3 linked regions of the Rattus norvegicus genome follow. The main gene of each other region encodes a partner of the protein of the gene in region 2 in a complex. Links are inferred from orthologs where the notes say so. Each region holds a gene or a part of one and is shown on either strand. Other genes may lie near its edges.

Region 1 (4,897 bases), on a different chromosome or scaffold from region 2:
AGTCCTCTTTTTTTTTTTTTCTTTTCTTTTTTTTTTTTTTTCAGAGCTGGGGACCGAACCCAGGGCCTTGTGCTTGCTAGGCAAGTGCTCTACCACTGAGCTAAAACCCCAACCCCTGCGGTCAGTCCTCTTAACCACTAAGCCATCTCTCCAGCCCACCAAGGCAACTCTTATAAGGACAACAGTTAACTGGGGCTGGCTTACAGGTTCAGAGGTTCATTATTATCCAAGTGTGAGCATGGCAGCATCCAGGCAGACAGAGCTGAGAGGTCTATATCTCCATCTGAAGGCTGCTATCAGAATACTCTCTTCCATAGGGCTAGGTTGAGGGTATTTAAGTCCATCTCCACACCTACTCCACTCCAACAAGGCCATGCCACCCCCCCCACCCCCCACCCCCCACCCCCCAGCTAAATCCCCAAACCCTAAGGCCATACTTCTTTTTTTTTTTTTTTTTTTCTTTCTTTTTTTCGGAGCTGGGGACCGAACCCAGGGCCTTGCGCTTGCTAGGCAAGCGCTCTACCACTGAGCTAAATCCCCCTGAACGCGCCCGATCTCGTCTGATCTCGGAAGCTAAGCAGGGTCGGGCCTGGTTAGTACTTGGATGGAAGGCCATACTTCTTAATGCCACTCCCTGGGCTGAGCAAACATCACACTGGGATAAGCCCACCAAGCTTGGTTTATGTTGTGCTGGGAATCAACACCAGAGTTTCTGCATGCAAAGCAAGCAGCCATAGGAATTACCCCAGTCCCTTCCTTCTTCCGTCCCTTCTTCCCTCCCTCCCTTTTCTTTCTTTCTCTTAAACAACATAACTGCTGCTTGTTCTTCAGGAAATTTCACCTTCCCACTTTCTCTAGGAATTAAACCCAGGACTTCAGGCACATGAAGCATGTGTGCTACTAGTGAGTTGCACGTCTTGTCATATCACAAATCTTACTTTTAGCCCCGAGGCAGGGTTTCTCTGTGCAGTCCTGGCTGTCCAAAAACTCTGTAGACCAGGTTGGCCTCATACTCACAGACAGCCACCTGCCTCTGCCTTCGGAGCGCTGGGAATAAAGGCACGCACCACAGCCAGGCAAACCTGACTGCCTTTGGCATTACGGATACTAAAATTCATTGGAAATCTTTCAGTAGAGAGATTATTTCGTAACGACTGGTTTTCACTATGGAGCTTGAAGTGGCTATGAATTTGCGATCCTCCTTCCTTTTTGGGATTATAGGAATGTGCTACTTCTCCAGGCGTTCAAAGAGCTAACTTTTTCTGTTGTACTTTGTGTTTTGTTTGTTTGTTGGTTTTTTTTTTTTTAAATTTTTTTTCTTTTTTTTTTCCGGAGCTGGGGACCGAACCCAGGGCCTTGCGCTTGCTAGGCAAGTGCTCTACCACTGAGCTAAATTCCCAACCCCTGTTTGTTTTTGATACAGAGTTTCTCTTTGTAGCAGTGGCTGTCCTGGAGCTCACTCTGTAGATCAGGCTGGCCTCGAACTCAGAGATCCACTGCCTACTGAGATAAAAGGCTTGCGCCACCAACGCTGCGCCAAAGAGCTAACGCTTCTAATTTACAAACGTGTATCTGACAAGATGCAAAGTTTCTAAGAGATGTCAACTCTTTCCACGGAAAGGTGTGAAGACTGAGCCAATCGGAGACAGTCCTGTTGGAAATCCCGCGGGAAGGGCGAATCAGCCAATTTCCGCGAGATTTTGGTGCTGTTCCTTCTTCCTCTGCCTGCAGGAACACGATTAATCTCGCGATCTTTGGGAAGTTCCGTTGGGGAAGATGGCGGCGGCCGCGAGCACCCTTCTCTTCTTGCCGCCGGGGACTTCAGACTGAACCTTCCCCGGAAGAGTGGGGGCCGCTGGTGCGCTGCTTCCCCGGAGTCCAGGCTAACTTGGTTCCCCTCTTAGTGGTGGGGAAAGGCTCCCTGGCTTGTGGCGGACCCAAGACCTCACCGCTGTCAGGATGAAGGCTCAGGGGGAAACCGAGGGTGAGTGACTAGGGGGTGGGGGGGAAGAAGGGGCGGGACACAACTGTGGGGAGCCAATCTGTGAGCGGAGGTGGGGACCCACGCCCCCCCCGTCCCCCCAGGGCCACTGTGCACGGAACTGGATCCAGGTGGATCCTGACCGAGCTTTACGGATGTTGGAGCTCCTACACTGAGGCTCCGCTCCGCCTCGCCTCCCCTTGTGAAAGATTTTCTGCAAGACTAGGGACAAGTAGATGAGCTTCAGGTTACTTTCAGCTTAGCCTGGTGGGTTACCAGGAGAGTGAAACTGAAACTTGATGCTTTGTTCCAGGAGAGATCGCTGAAGATGACACTAGAACAATGTGTCAAAGTGATGGAGGATGTTTTGGTGTGAGTGACATGGTGCGGTCTTTATTATAATAAAAGCTAGTAGTTTCTTGGAATGTCATAGTGTTCAAATACTGTGCTGTGTTTTTAAAAACTACTCTTTCAATTGTTCCTGAATAATGGCTTTAAAGCTCGGGGGAAATGTATTCAGAACTATGAACTAGCAGGAACAAAACCCAAACCACTTTCCCAGTTGAAGGAAGAAAAGGGAAGGGATTGAGTCTTTTTTGTTTTCTTTCAAGACAAGGTCTTCCTGCATCAGCCTCCCAAGTGCCAGCTTAACATACCATCATAGCCAGCTAAGAGTTTAAATCTTGGTTTAACTATCCCCCTCCTAACCTTAACTCAGATAGACTGGCTTATCCAAAATGAAGTCTCGACATTTTTAGGAAAGTGGACGATACTCAAAATAAGCTGTATTTAGCTAATACCACATTTTCTCTTATGCGGAATCTCAATTTAAGTATGTGTTGGCGTGGTGTACTGGTTGTCAAAATATGGGACCATGTGAGAAAGAAGGAGATCTTCAGGATAGAAAGGTAAATGGAGTTTGAACTAAATGGAAGCCTTGACTGTTTTGAGGTTGGGGCAGGGGTGGCTGTCAGAGGAAGAAGACTCAGACCCAGTGTAACATCTTACATCTATAAGAATGCCAAAATGATACCCATTGCTTTGTTTGTTAATTTAAAAATAATTTAGAGGCTGCAGATATTAGAGCAAGGTCGTTTGCCCACAGGTTCAATCCCCAGCACCAAAAGAAAAGGAAAAAAGGAGAAAGCAACAAAAATGAATGATGTCATTGTTTTCATACTAAAAACTAATTATAGAAATGCCTAGCTCAAATTGTGCTCAAAATATATCCTTCAAGGTATTGCATCCCTATGTATGCAATTACAAGTTTTTTGTTTGCTTCAGTGGATAGTTTGAACAGAAGCTGGGCATTGCATACCTGTAGTCTCACCACTGAGAAGGTAGAGGCAGGAGGGGCAGGACTTCCCGACTGCCCTTTCCTTCTCAGCAAGTTCAGGCTCATTTAGGCTAAGTAAGACCTTGTCCAGAAAAAAAAAAAAAAAAAAAGGCTGCCAGTCAGTTGGTAAAATGCTTCCTGTGCATACATGAAAACAGGCCTGAATTTGGTCCCCAAGTGGTGATGATTCATGCCTTTAATCCTAGTACTTAGTAGGCAGAGGCAGGGGGATCCCTCAGTTTGAAGCCAGGCAGGTCTACAAAGAGACAGGACAGTCAGAGAAGCTCTGTCTTAACCCCAACCCCCCAAAATAAATAAAAAAGAAGGCGTCTGGGGGCTGGAGAGATGGCTCAGTGGTTAAGAACACTGTCTGTTCTTCCAGAGGTCCTGAGTTCAAATCCCAGCAACCACATGGTGGCTCACAACCATTTATAATGATATCTAGTGCCCTCTTCTGGCCTGCAGGCATACATGTAGGTAGAATGCTGTATACATAATAAAAAGTCTTAAAAAAAAAAGGCGTCTGTTTATAGTGGCATACAGCCATAGGAGGCTAAAGAAAAGGAGACAAGAGATGACTGAGGAGAGTCTGGGCTGTAATGCAAGCCCGGGTAGAGGGACAAGCATGTGGAGGCCACCCCTTATATTTCTGTATTTGGAGGTGGTCTACTGTAGCTACTGTGGGCTCTGGGGCGTGAACCCAGGCTCTCATGTTTGGCATGGGATGCCTCTACTCAGGGAGCCACCTTGTCAGCCTCCAAGGTCATGCTCAGCTAGATGGACTTGGGGGTCAGCGGGGTGGCGAGAGAATGTCTGAAATGAAGGAAAAGCAGGGAGGGGCTGGAGACAGAGCTGGGGAGTTTTTGGCATGGGTTTAGATTTGGCTCCCAGGAAGCACATGCCCACAGGGCAGCTCACAACCATTTGTAGCTTTAGTTTCAGGAGTCTTGGTGCCTTCTAGCCTCCCTGCACAGACGTGTTATACATGCATGAGTCAAAAAACAAACAAAAAACCAAACACACACAACATAAATCTTTTTTTCTTTAAAGAATATGGGTTTCATGTGTGTAGTGGTTTTGTCTTCCTGTATTTCTGTGTACCAAGTATATACCTGGTGCCCTCAGAGTCCAGAAGAGGACAGCAGATTCCCTGGGACTGGATTTACATGTGGCCGTGAGCTGCCATGTGGGTGATGGGACTTGAACCCAGATCCTCTGAAAGAGTAGCTAGTGCTCTTAAAGGATGCGTTAGGCATTGTCAAACAGTACTTTGATGCCATACTTAAGAGGCAGAGGCAGGTGGATCTATTTGTTCAAAGCCACCCTTTTTAGACCCCGTCTAACACCAAACAAAACAACAAAATGCATCTAGGCCTGGAAGGTTCCACGTACTCATAGGGAAAGGTGAGAACAGGCTGCAGTAAACCTTCTGACCTCCACAGGTGCTATGGCCAGTTCACACCCGTGCTTACACATACGCAGATAACAAACACAGTCTGGTGTGGTTTCTAGTAGCATTTTAAATATTTGTTTTACATATGTGGGTGGTTTGCTAGCATGTATATATATATGTACCACAT
Region 2 (4,285 bases):
GAAATTCTAAGCAAGCTTGAATTCAAAGTCTTTTCAATCATTTTATGCTAATCTTTGAGAGAAAGAAGAGAAGGAAGAAAAAGAAACGTGTCTCCTTCTCAGGTTACACATGCAGTGTCTCCACAAGGGATCAGTTCTGACAGACCAGTGGTTCTGCTCAGGCCGTCTGAAGGCCCTTCCCCAGATCTGCTCAAGCAGAAGCTCTAAGGCTGGGACCCAGGAGCTGTGGCTTGGCGAGCCTTCCAGCTCTATCCAATATGTGAGGACCGACATTGTAGCCTCCCTGACGTCATGGAAAATCAATATCCACCATGCCGTAAACCTTCTCTGAGGTTCGCCTTCTCTTTGTTATAGTTTTGTCAAGTTGGTATCTTTGTGCTCTGTGAAGTTTCACTGAAGCCTGTTTCTCTCCATCTTGCTGTCAGCAAAGAATTCTTCAGGAAATGTAACCTCTTGTGAGAGTCTAAAACTGCAGAGAACAGCCTTGCTGGGGCACCAGTGGAAGGGGAAGCCCTTGGTCCCGCCAAGGTTGGACCCCAGTGCAGGGGAATGTGGGGGGGGGATAAGGGGGATGTATGGGGGGATACCCGTATGGGGGAGGGGGAGGGGAGGGATGGGGGCTTATGGACAGGAAACCGGGAAGGGGAATAACCTTTGAAATGTAAGTAAAGAAATACATCTAATAAAAAATTTTAAAAAAAGAAAAGAAAAATGAAACCATAATAATTACATTTTCAGAAACATTTAATCCTCAGTAGGATGAGAAGCAACTCAAGAGATTTGGGAAGTAAAAAGAAGAATTTTCAAAAAGGAAATAGCCAATTTTCTTTAGCTATTACCAAGTCAGAACTCCCTAGAAAGCCACCATGACTGGAAGAAAAGATTCACCGCCTATTTAATATGCACTTCAGAACCAAATTACCTGCAGAGGGGCTGGAAAACAGCTAAGGGTGTGCGAAGCCCAGTTATGAGGAGTAAAAGTCATGATGGTCTGAAGGATATCTTTACACCAAGTTCCCTGTATTGAATCAGATCCTGTAAAAAAATCTAAACAAACAGATGTGAGTCAGCCCTCTATGACCACAAATACATACTGTCAAAGGAAGCAAAAGCATCCATGTACACTGGGGTGTTGTAGTGCGGACACTCACTGTTTACCTATATTTTACTCAGGACCTAAACTCTCTTACTTTGAGAATAACTAGAAGTGACTTGGACTTTTTATTACAACATATGAGCACAATTAGTGAAGAGACAACAAAGGACTTAATCTTTTTTTATTTTTAAAAGGGTCAAGGAGTGGAACTAAAAAAGCAGATGTGGGACTACATGCCCTGTACGTCCCAAGTGTAAATCTCTAAATCAGAGACATTTACTCACAGGAAATAACCGCTTACAAAATGTAGCTGAAATTGATAAATCTGGTATCTTTTCTCTCCTTTTTTAAACAAACAACTCTCACAGTGTACTGTGAACTGCTGAACTGCTGATCTCTAGCAGCTGCCGGTGTCCGTCCGTCCGCCTGCCTGCCTGCCTGCCTTCCTTCCTTCCTTCTTTCCTTCCTTCCTTCTTCCTTCCTTCCATTTTTGAGATAGGGTCTTTTTTTAAGTCTAGGTTTACCTCAACTTTGAAATCCTCCTGCCTCAAACTCTCCAAGTGCTAGGATTACAGGCTTGTGCTGCTATACCTACCTAGTCCTACTGTCCTTTCAAGGATTTGGTGTGTTCACAGCTATTCAAATAACAAACTGCAGCTATCCGTAATGGTACAGCAAAATGCCTGGTTCTCTGCACACTTCTAAGAAGGCCCCAGACTACCCACTATACACTACTACACACCACCTGCAGGAGTCTGAGGGAAAGTGCTCGAATGGCAGTACTCAGGTGCAACAGCTGCCTTTTCTCATGGGATTTCAGTTTTAGGTAGATGAGCATCTGACAGAAAAGTAAGTAATTATGCAGACATGAACATCTGGCAGACGCTCTAGAAAACTAACACTCACCCTGTGTTTTAAGAAGAACATAGAACGGCATCTTCTACAGACGCAGTCTGATGTTTTAGGTGGCAATTAGGAACTGGAAAACTTCCGTCCATGAGTGTGACTGATTTCCCTGATGTAATGATGTTCTATGGAACTACAGTGAGATGTGTTCACATTTGCTACAACTGCTTAACTCGGGGAATGTTTTCCAAATGGTGAATTCATAAAGACCCATACATTAAAAATGTATTCAATACAAAAAATAGGCCAGATGGGCTGGAGAGATGGCTCAGTGGTTAAGAGCACTGACTGCTCTTCCAGAGGTCCTGAGTTCAAATCCCAGCAACCACATGGTGGCTCACAACCATCTGTAATGAGATCTGATGCCTTCTTCTGGTGTGTCTGTGGATAGCTAGAGTGTACTCGTATAAAAATAAATAAATAAATAAATAAATAAATAAATAAATCTATCTTAAAAAAAATAAATAAATAAAAAATAGGCCAGGGATCACAGGGCAGAAAAGTCCACGGACAGGACTGGGTTTCACAGCTGATATTGAAGGACACGCAGCTATCTGAAAAGCCTAAGGTGGCCAAGCCTTTCTTCCCTTGGCTGTGTCTGTGAGAAGCCATGCTTCCTCGTGTGCTCTAACACCGTAGCATCCTCGTACTGAAGCATATAAATGCTCCAGAGGCAGACGGGAGAAACCACCCGTGCTCGCTTACTCCACACATTAAAGGACAACGTCAGACTAAAACAAAAGCACCACTTCCCACCAGAGTTGTGTTGTAGAAAACCCCGTTTTCATAAATGTTACTTATACTGATGTTATATGCTGCATTACTTTTAATAAATAAGCACTTTTAAAAACTTCTCTATTCTAATAACTAACATACTTGTTCATGTGCAAATGAAAATCCATAAAAAGAAAATCTTTGGGAATTTCCTCAGTCAGAATGACAGTGCCACGGGATTCCATTTTTGACTGATCCGGAGCAGAGCCTAGAGCAACTGGCTCGCTTTCCCTGAAAGGTACCTCCTTGGCATGTGCTCCCACAGGGAGTGGTCTGAGAGGAGCGGCACGATGTATGTTAGCGTCCCTTGCAGGATCTCTACCTGTGACGTGGGTTGCTCTGGCCAAGGTCAGGATCAAGGCTCGGTTCAGCTCTTCAGATTCTGCGGACAGCACTGTTTTGGGATCGTTGAGGAAGCGTGTAAACTGCGGCTGGACCTCGGAGCTCCCCAGCGCCGTGATGAGCCTCAGCGCAGTACTTTCTACGCTGAAAGCAGGAACGCAGTTGACACGCACGTTGGCAGACCCCAGTGCAGAGGTACGAACATGTAATAACACAAAGGTTACACATTGCCCTTCTTTTTGATGCTAAATTGTACAATCTGAAGCAGCTGACCTCTGTACACATTTGACAAAGAGAGCCCTAGGCTAGAAGAGACCCTTCTCCTAGACAGACAGCATTTCAGTAACACCGTACTACTAGGTAGGCAGCACACACTTGCAGAGTCAGTACGGTGGCCCCCGTGGGTCCACAGGGAGTGGCACTATTAGGAAGTTGGGCCTTGGAATACACATGGCTTCATTGGAGGGGATGAGTGAATAAGAGGCCTCAGAAACTCAACAATCAGGTCCTTCTTCAGCACCATGTCCTCCTGCATGCCCCCATGCTTCCCTTCATGATGATAATGGCCTAAACCTCTGCACCTGTGAGCCAGCACCAACCAATGCTGTCCCCTGGTAAGAGTTGCCATGGTCACGGGGTCTGTTCACAGCAACAGAACTCTAAGAGAACCAGCATTTAGGAGGCAGAGGCAGGGGATCAGGAATTTTTATCTTGTGTCGGCTACAAAAATGAATTCCAGGTCAGCTTATGCTACAGGACACTGTGTCCCCTCCTCCATTAAGTTACAGATTTCCATCTGAAATACGTCTTCACTTAAATCAAAATGGAAATGATACTTTTTTTTTGGTTTTCAAAACAGGGTTTCTCTGTGTAGCCCTGGCTGTCCTGGAACTCACCCTGTAGACCAGGCTTGCCTTGAAATCACAGAGATCTGCCTGCCTCTGCCTCCTATAAAATGATGCTTTAACCAGGACTTGACACATATGCAAATCCAATTTCTTTTAAAAACTTGGATTCCAATCTTTCACTGTAATTATAGTATCTTAGAAGCAGAATTTAAATTTTATGGCAAATAAGAAAAAAGTGGGGGTGGGGAAGATTAAGATCCCCACTTCCAAGCATGGGCGGGCTAAACCTCAGGGGAGGCAGCCTGCAGGCTACTCACTC
Region 3 (5,015 bases), on a different chromosome or scaffold from region 2:
GAATAGTGCTGCCAGTGCAGAATCTGCTGTTCGTCAATGAACTTCGCACACTGAGCATTCACCAGCTCCTTTCGAAAGTGTTCATATTGGAGCAGTTCTAACATATGCAAACACTGAGGGTACCTGGGTTTAAGTTCATAAGTCAATTATCAACATAATTTAAGGCATCCCAAGTTCTAAATCAGATACTCCCCTAAAAATGATCTCAAGCCCACCATTTCTACTACTATGGTACCTTTGGTAAAATCACTCCTACCATGTTATTCAGAACATTATGCAAGATATAGTGGAGTTATTTCACAACTTCTCTCGAATTTAAACATCTATAGCTGTTACCTCCAAGAGGACACAGATGAACAGAATAAGGAACAAGCCTACAAACGGCTTAGAGCTACAAGGAGGTGTATTTGATCAGAGTATATAAGAAGAGCTCCCTTACCTCTGGCTATCAATGGAGTAAGCTGCCTCTAATAGTAGAGGGACCTATGATCATAGGGAGCCTCCAACAGAGCGGAGACAATCATCTTTCAACAGCTGGGCTGGAGAGACTGAGCTTGAAGGTGGCTAAAAGTTTGCTAACATGTAACATGTTATACTTTTCTTTCTTTTTTTTTTTTTCTTTTTTTTTTTTTTCTCGGAGCTGGGGACTGAACCCAGGGCCTTGTGCTTCCTAGGCAAGCGCTCTACCACTGAGCTAAATCCCCAACCCCATACTTTTCTAATAGTAATTTCAAGCCTATCATTTGGATTCCTAGAGGAATCTAGAATTGCATCATGAAGAGCAAATCTACAGGCAGCCCAGGAATCAAGTCAGAAAAATGACTACGATTAAAAAAAAAAAAAAGGTTTGAAATGTTTTCCTCTAATTTTTAAAATAGGGTCTCTCTGTGTGGCCCTGAATGGCCTGAAGCTTGCAACATAATCAGGCTGGCCTCAAATTCACGGAGATCTGCCTGACTCTGCCTCTTGAGAGCTGGGATTAAAGGGACACCAAGCTACTTCTGGGGTTTTTGTTGTTGTCCCCTCCTTTGGGGCAGTGTCTAGACAGGGTTTACCTGGGTAGAGTGGCTGTCCTGGAAGCAGCTCTGGCCTTGAACTCACACATGCGCCCGCCTCTGCCTCCCAAATGTTGGGATTAAAGCCAGCTTGGCTTTCTTTTCTCTTTTTAAGTCAAAGCAGAGTTTGATGTGATATTGTTGTGTCTGTTCTTTTACAGTGAGTTAATACGCACAGTGATTGAAACAAAGGACACCACAAAGAAAGGCAGGACCTCTAAGACTCTCAGGAAACAGTTCTTCCTACCGTCACAGGTTATGGGTTGTTAGGCCTCAAAACCCCAGAAAGACAGGGGCAGTGCTAAGTGACATGGTTAGACACGACCAAATTACATTAGAACTGTAGTCTACAACAGTTCACTGGATCTTAGCCTGCACGAACAGTATGCTCTGACTTACACTGCCAAGAGAGTAAGCTGGCTCCCACGTAGACAGTTCTTTGGTTTTGTTTGAAGGGAGTGAGGTAAGAATGGTAGCAGAAATAAATGAAATTCCTGTCATAATCAACCCAAGTTAGAGATAACAGCGTCTTACATCAACTAAAAGCAGAAAGATCCCAAATGCTGTTTTCCATTCTGACACCGAGAAAACTGCTAAATAATAGCACTTAGTATTTATAATAAAGTACACACAGCTTTGGGATTTTAAAAATTAAACTTACTTTAGATATTTGGCATATTCTGGTTCTTTCCAGTAAAGCAAGTACTTAAGATAATTAACAAAAGCTTTGTCTTTGAAGTAACCTCTTTGGGCGAGAACTGAAAGACACAAAGAAACACTCTGTATGTCAACCACTGCTGGGCTGCTGATCTGTAATCTCTTAAGTAAAGTAGCTCTTCTTAACATCCCTACCGACAAAACACAAGGGATTAAAAAACACAAGCCCTTGTTTGCTCAGTTGATACTTACAGACCAGCACAAGTAAAACCCCAAACACATCGAAGTAAATAAATACTATTACAAATTGCATCTCTTCTCAGAAACCATTAAGATCTAGTGAGCTACTTAAGTTAATGATGTACTTAACTTACAATTAAGGTAATTTGGGTTGGCTAAACATTGCACAAATTCCAACTCCAACTGAAACCGAAGTCGATTTCCAGCATCATCTAGGAGAAAAGACAGTAAAAAAAAAAAGAGAAAGAAGGAAGGAACGATCACCCAAAATAAAAGTCACAATACAAACATTGATTTGTAGAAACAAAAATAAAACGCAGGTCAAACAGCTCAGCAAGTAAAGGTGCTTGCTGCAAAGTCTGATGACCTGAGTTCGATTCCTGGAACCTACAGGGTTGTAGGAAGACAACCGATTTCTGCAAGTTGTCCTCTAACCTTGGCATGCACCGCCGCTCACCCCCATAAACACACACACACATGCACACTCATGAATGAACTCAAATATCAAAGTGTGGAAGAAACTTCCTTAGAAATTTAGTTTAATTCACTACTTAGTGAGCCCTGTTTCCAAAACAAAAATAGTAATAAAAAAATCCTTTAAAGTTCGTTGAGGAAAAAATATGTAGAACCTGTACGCCACTGTGGAAGGACGTGAGCGGAGATTATCGGATAGTCTGCAATAGCTGTACGGTTCCCTATGTTGTTATAACCACAACTAATTACGTTAAGCAAAAACAAAGTGCTACACAAAAACGAAGCAGGAATGATTAAACAATGGAGAGAAGACGGTGATATGCATTAGAATACACAGGTTACCGACATTTCAGGCAAGTTTGGAGAAGTTCCAAAGAGCAGACAGTGGAAGGTCTCAGTCCTTTCTATGCGCCCCGGCCCGCCCCGCGAGTCAGGGTTGGAGTAGGGGTTAGAGCAACACAGGAGCAAAGTTGGTCCTACAGGCCATATTCTGGGGGGCAACACCGCCTTCTCCTCCGCCGGTCCCAACTCTAAGGATGAGGAGTTGAGCCCGGAAGACGGCGCAGGGGAAGGGAAACGGGAGAGGATTTTGGGGCGAAGGACCATTCCCGTGCAAAACACAACGCACCTGTCTCCATAGCGACGGCCGCGGCCATAGCAAGCAGAAAGGCGCAAACACTACCAACCCGACCCAACCGCAGCCCGGATTGGTGAAGGAGAATCCGGAAGTCACGGGTCCTACTTCCGGTCGCGGGGCAGAGTGGGACACGAGGGCGGGGACAACTTCACTTTGGGGAAGAGTGGCCCCGCCCATCTGTGCGGACCGGGCCGACTGCGCGCGCAGATATCGAGCGGGGCGTGCCGGAGGGCTTCTCTGATTTCAGGTCTGAGTCCTGCTGCCTACTCTGATGTAATACACCTCTCTGACGTCACCTTCCCCCGGGTGGCGTGACGCAGAGCATGATCCTTGGGCTTCTTTGTTCCTCCTGACCAAAGTGTACGGGCAGGATGGCCTCGCCCCTTAGGAGCAAGTCCTCCGTCCCGCGAGTGGAAAGCACCCGCCACAAGGAGACATCGACTGTCCGCATGGAGACGTCGTCCCACCGCGAGGAAACGTCATCCCACCGCGTGGAGACGTCCTCCCGGCAGGTTCTAACGTCTTCCCGGCAAGTGGAGACCTCCCAGCGCCACCGAGAGGGACCCTCCCTCACCCCCTCCGCGAAGCGACTCCCTCAATTCCTCGAGGTGTCCTCCCAGCACGTGGAAACCTCCTCGCAGTGCATGGAAACGTCCTCCCGCCACGTCAGGGCGTCGTCATCCCTGCGGGTGGAGACTACTGTGCACCGCGTAGAGAGCCCAGCCAGGCGAGACAAGCAAGCCACTCGGCAGAGTGCCAGAATGACTCGATGAAGTGCCATGGTCCTTAGCCAGGACTGAGGAATTGCCAGCCAGCTTCCAGGAGAGCCAAGTATCTTTGGTTTCATGGAAACAGCCCATAAAACAGTGTAAGAAGCAGGCTGTGGTTTCTGGGCACTGTTAACATGTATTGACATTGCAGCACCTTAGTCCATCCTGCTGTTGACCCAGCGTACTATTAACCTGAAGCCAGCACAGAAAGGTTTCCGATTTGTAGTACTGTGTAAACCCAGACGATGGACAAAGAGATTCTTTGAGTCTCTACACCAGGTAAGTTTTATAGTCTTAGGTCCCTCTAGAATGTGTTGACGACTTGAAATCTGCGAAGAGGGGCCAGATTTGTCATGTTTCTTGACTACTGGCCTGATCATATACCTGCTTGAAACCTACAGAGCAAGGCATCATCTTTCACAAATTGTTAATTACCCTTTAATAATATTTATATTTCATAATAAGTTTTCTCGTGTTAAGTTGTTATACACAGTATTCCATCTACACTTTAAAAAATAGGTCAGGAGCTATTAGAAAAATAAGGGCAGGGCAATTGAGAAAAAAAAATACTAATCTTGGGAGGGAACGTGAAGAAGCAGCCATGACACTTGGTCTGGGGCGTGAGATTGGCAGAGGATGGTTACTGAGTACCTACAGCATGCTTGGTACCAGTCAGAACTTGTCGGCTATAGCAGTGGAAAAGACTAAGATCTTCTCAAGTGAAGAGAAAGTAAGACGATGTTCTGTTGTATTCCTGTGAAAGATAAGGTATCTATCTTGTGGTAGCGAGTAGGGCGCTCTTTCGAGAACATGGTCAGGGAAAGCCTTGCTGATGACACTTGGTCTGAGATTGTGTGGGTTAGCAGCAAGCCATATCAGGATCTACAGGGAAGTACATTTTACACAGTACATTTTAAAAAAAAAATTGGAGATGTTTATGGAAGAGAAAAAGCAGTGTATGAGATTGTGGTATAATGGGGGGGGGTGGAGAATATGCCAATTCATATAGAGTCTTGGAAATCCCAGTGGAGAGTTTGAATTTTATTCTGAGACCATCAAAAAAATTTGATGCAAGGGAGCAAAGTGCATGGTGCAGTTCGGAGTTTAGAACTATCTCTCCGTCGTTGTCGCATGGGTACCCAAGCTGGGAATGATTTTGTCTCCGGAAACGTGTGTGTTTGG

Evidence for each region. Proteins that work in one complex are often made in the same cells at the same time.
Region 1: Med23 (region 2) and Med1 share a complex: the UniProt entries of both Homo sapiens proteins name them as parts of the mediator complex. The link is inferred for Rattus norvegicus from reciprocal best matches to the Homo sapiens genes MED23 and MED1.
Region 3: Med23 (region 2) and Med31 share a complex: the UniProt entries of both Homo sapiens proteins name them as parts of the mediator complex. The link is inferred for Rattus norvegicus from reciprocal best matches to the Homo sapiens genes MED23 and MED31.

Annotation. Positions count from the first base shown.
Region 1 is NC_086028.1:83,682,408-83,687,304, reverse strand, and holds the start of Med1 (mediator of RNA polymerase II transcription subunit 1), read left to right. Parts: upstream 1-1,759; 5' UTR 1,760-1,959; coding exon 1,960-1,984; intron 1,985-2,814; exon of another isoform or gene 2,815-2,889; intron 2,890-4,897. UniProt on the Homo sapiens protein: Component of the Mediator complex, a coactivator involved in the regulated transcription of nearly all RNA polymerase II-dependent genes.
Region 2 is NC_086019.1:22,321,685-22,325,969, forward strand, and holds part of Med23 (mediator of RNA polymerase II transcription subunit 23), read right to left. Parts: intron 3,263-4,285; coding exon 3,099-3,262; intron 1,048-3,098; coding exon 923-1,047; intron 1-922. UniProt on the Homo sapiens protein: Required for transcriptional activation subsequent to the assembly of the pre-initiation complex. Component of the Mediator complex, a coactivator involved in the regulated transcription of nearly all RNA polymerase II-dependent genes.
Region 3 is NC_086028.1:57,335,752-57,340,766, forward strand, and holds the start of Med31 (mediator of RNA polymerase II transcription subunit 31), read right to left. Parts: upstream 3,139-5,015; 5' UTR 3,083-3,138; coding exon 3,055-3,082; intron 2,165-3,054; coding exon 2,087-2,164; intron 1,814-2,086; coding exon 1,717-1,813; intron 124-1,716; coding exon 1-123. Other genes in the region: C10h17orf100 (uncharacterized protein C17orf100 homolog), read left to right, coding at 3,435-3,836. UniProt on the Homo sapiens protein: Component of the Mediator complex, a coactivator involved in the regulated transcription of nearly all RNA polymerase II-dependent genes.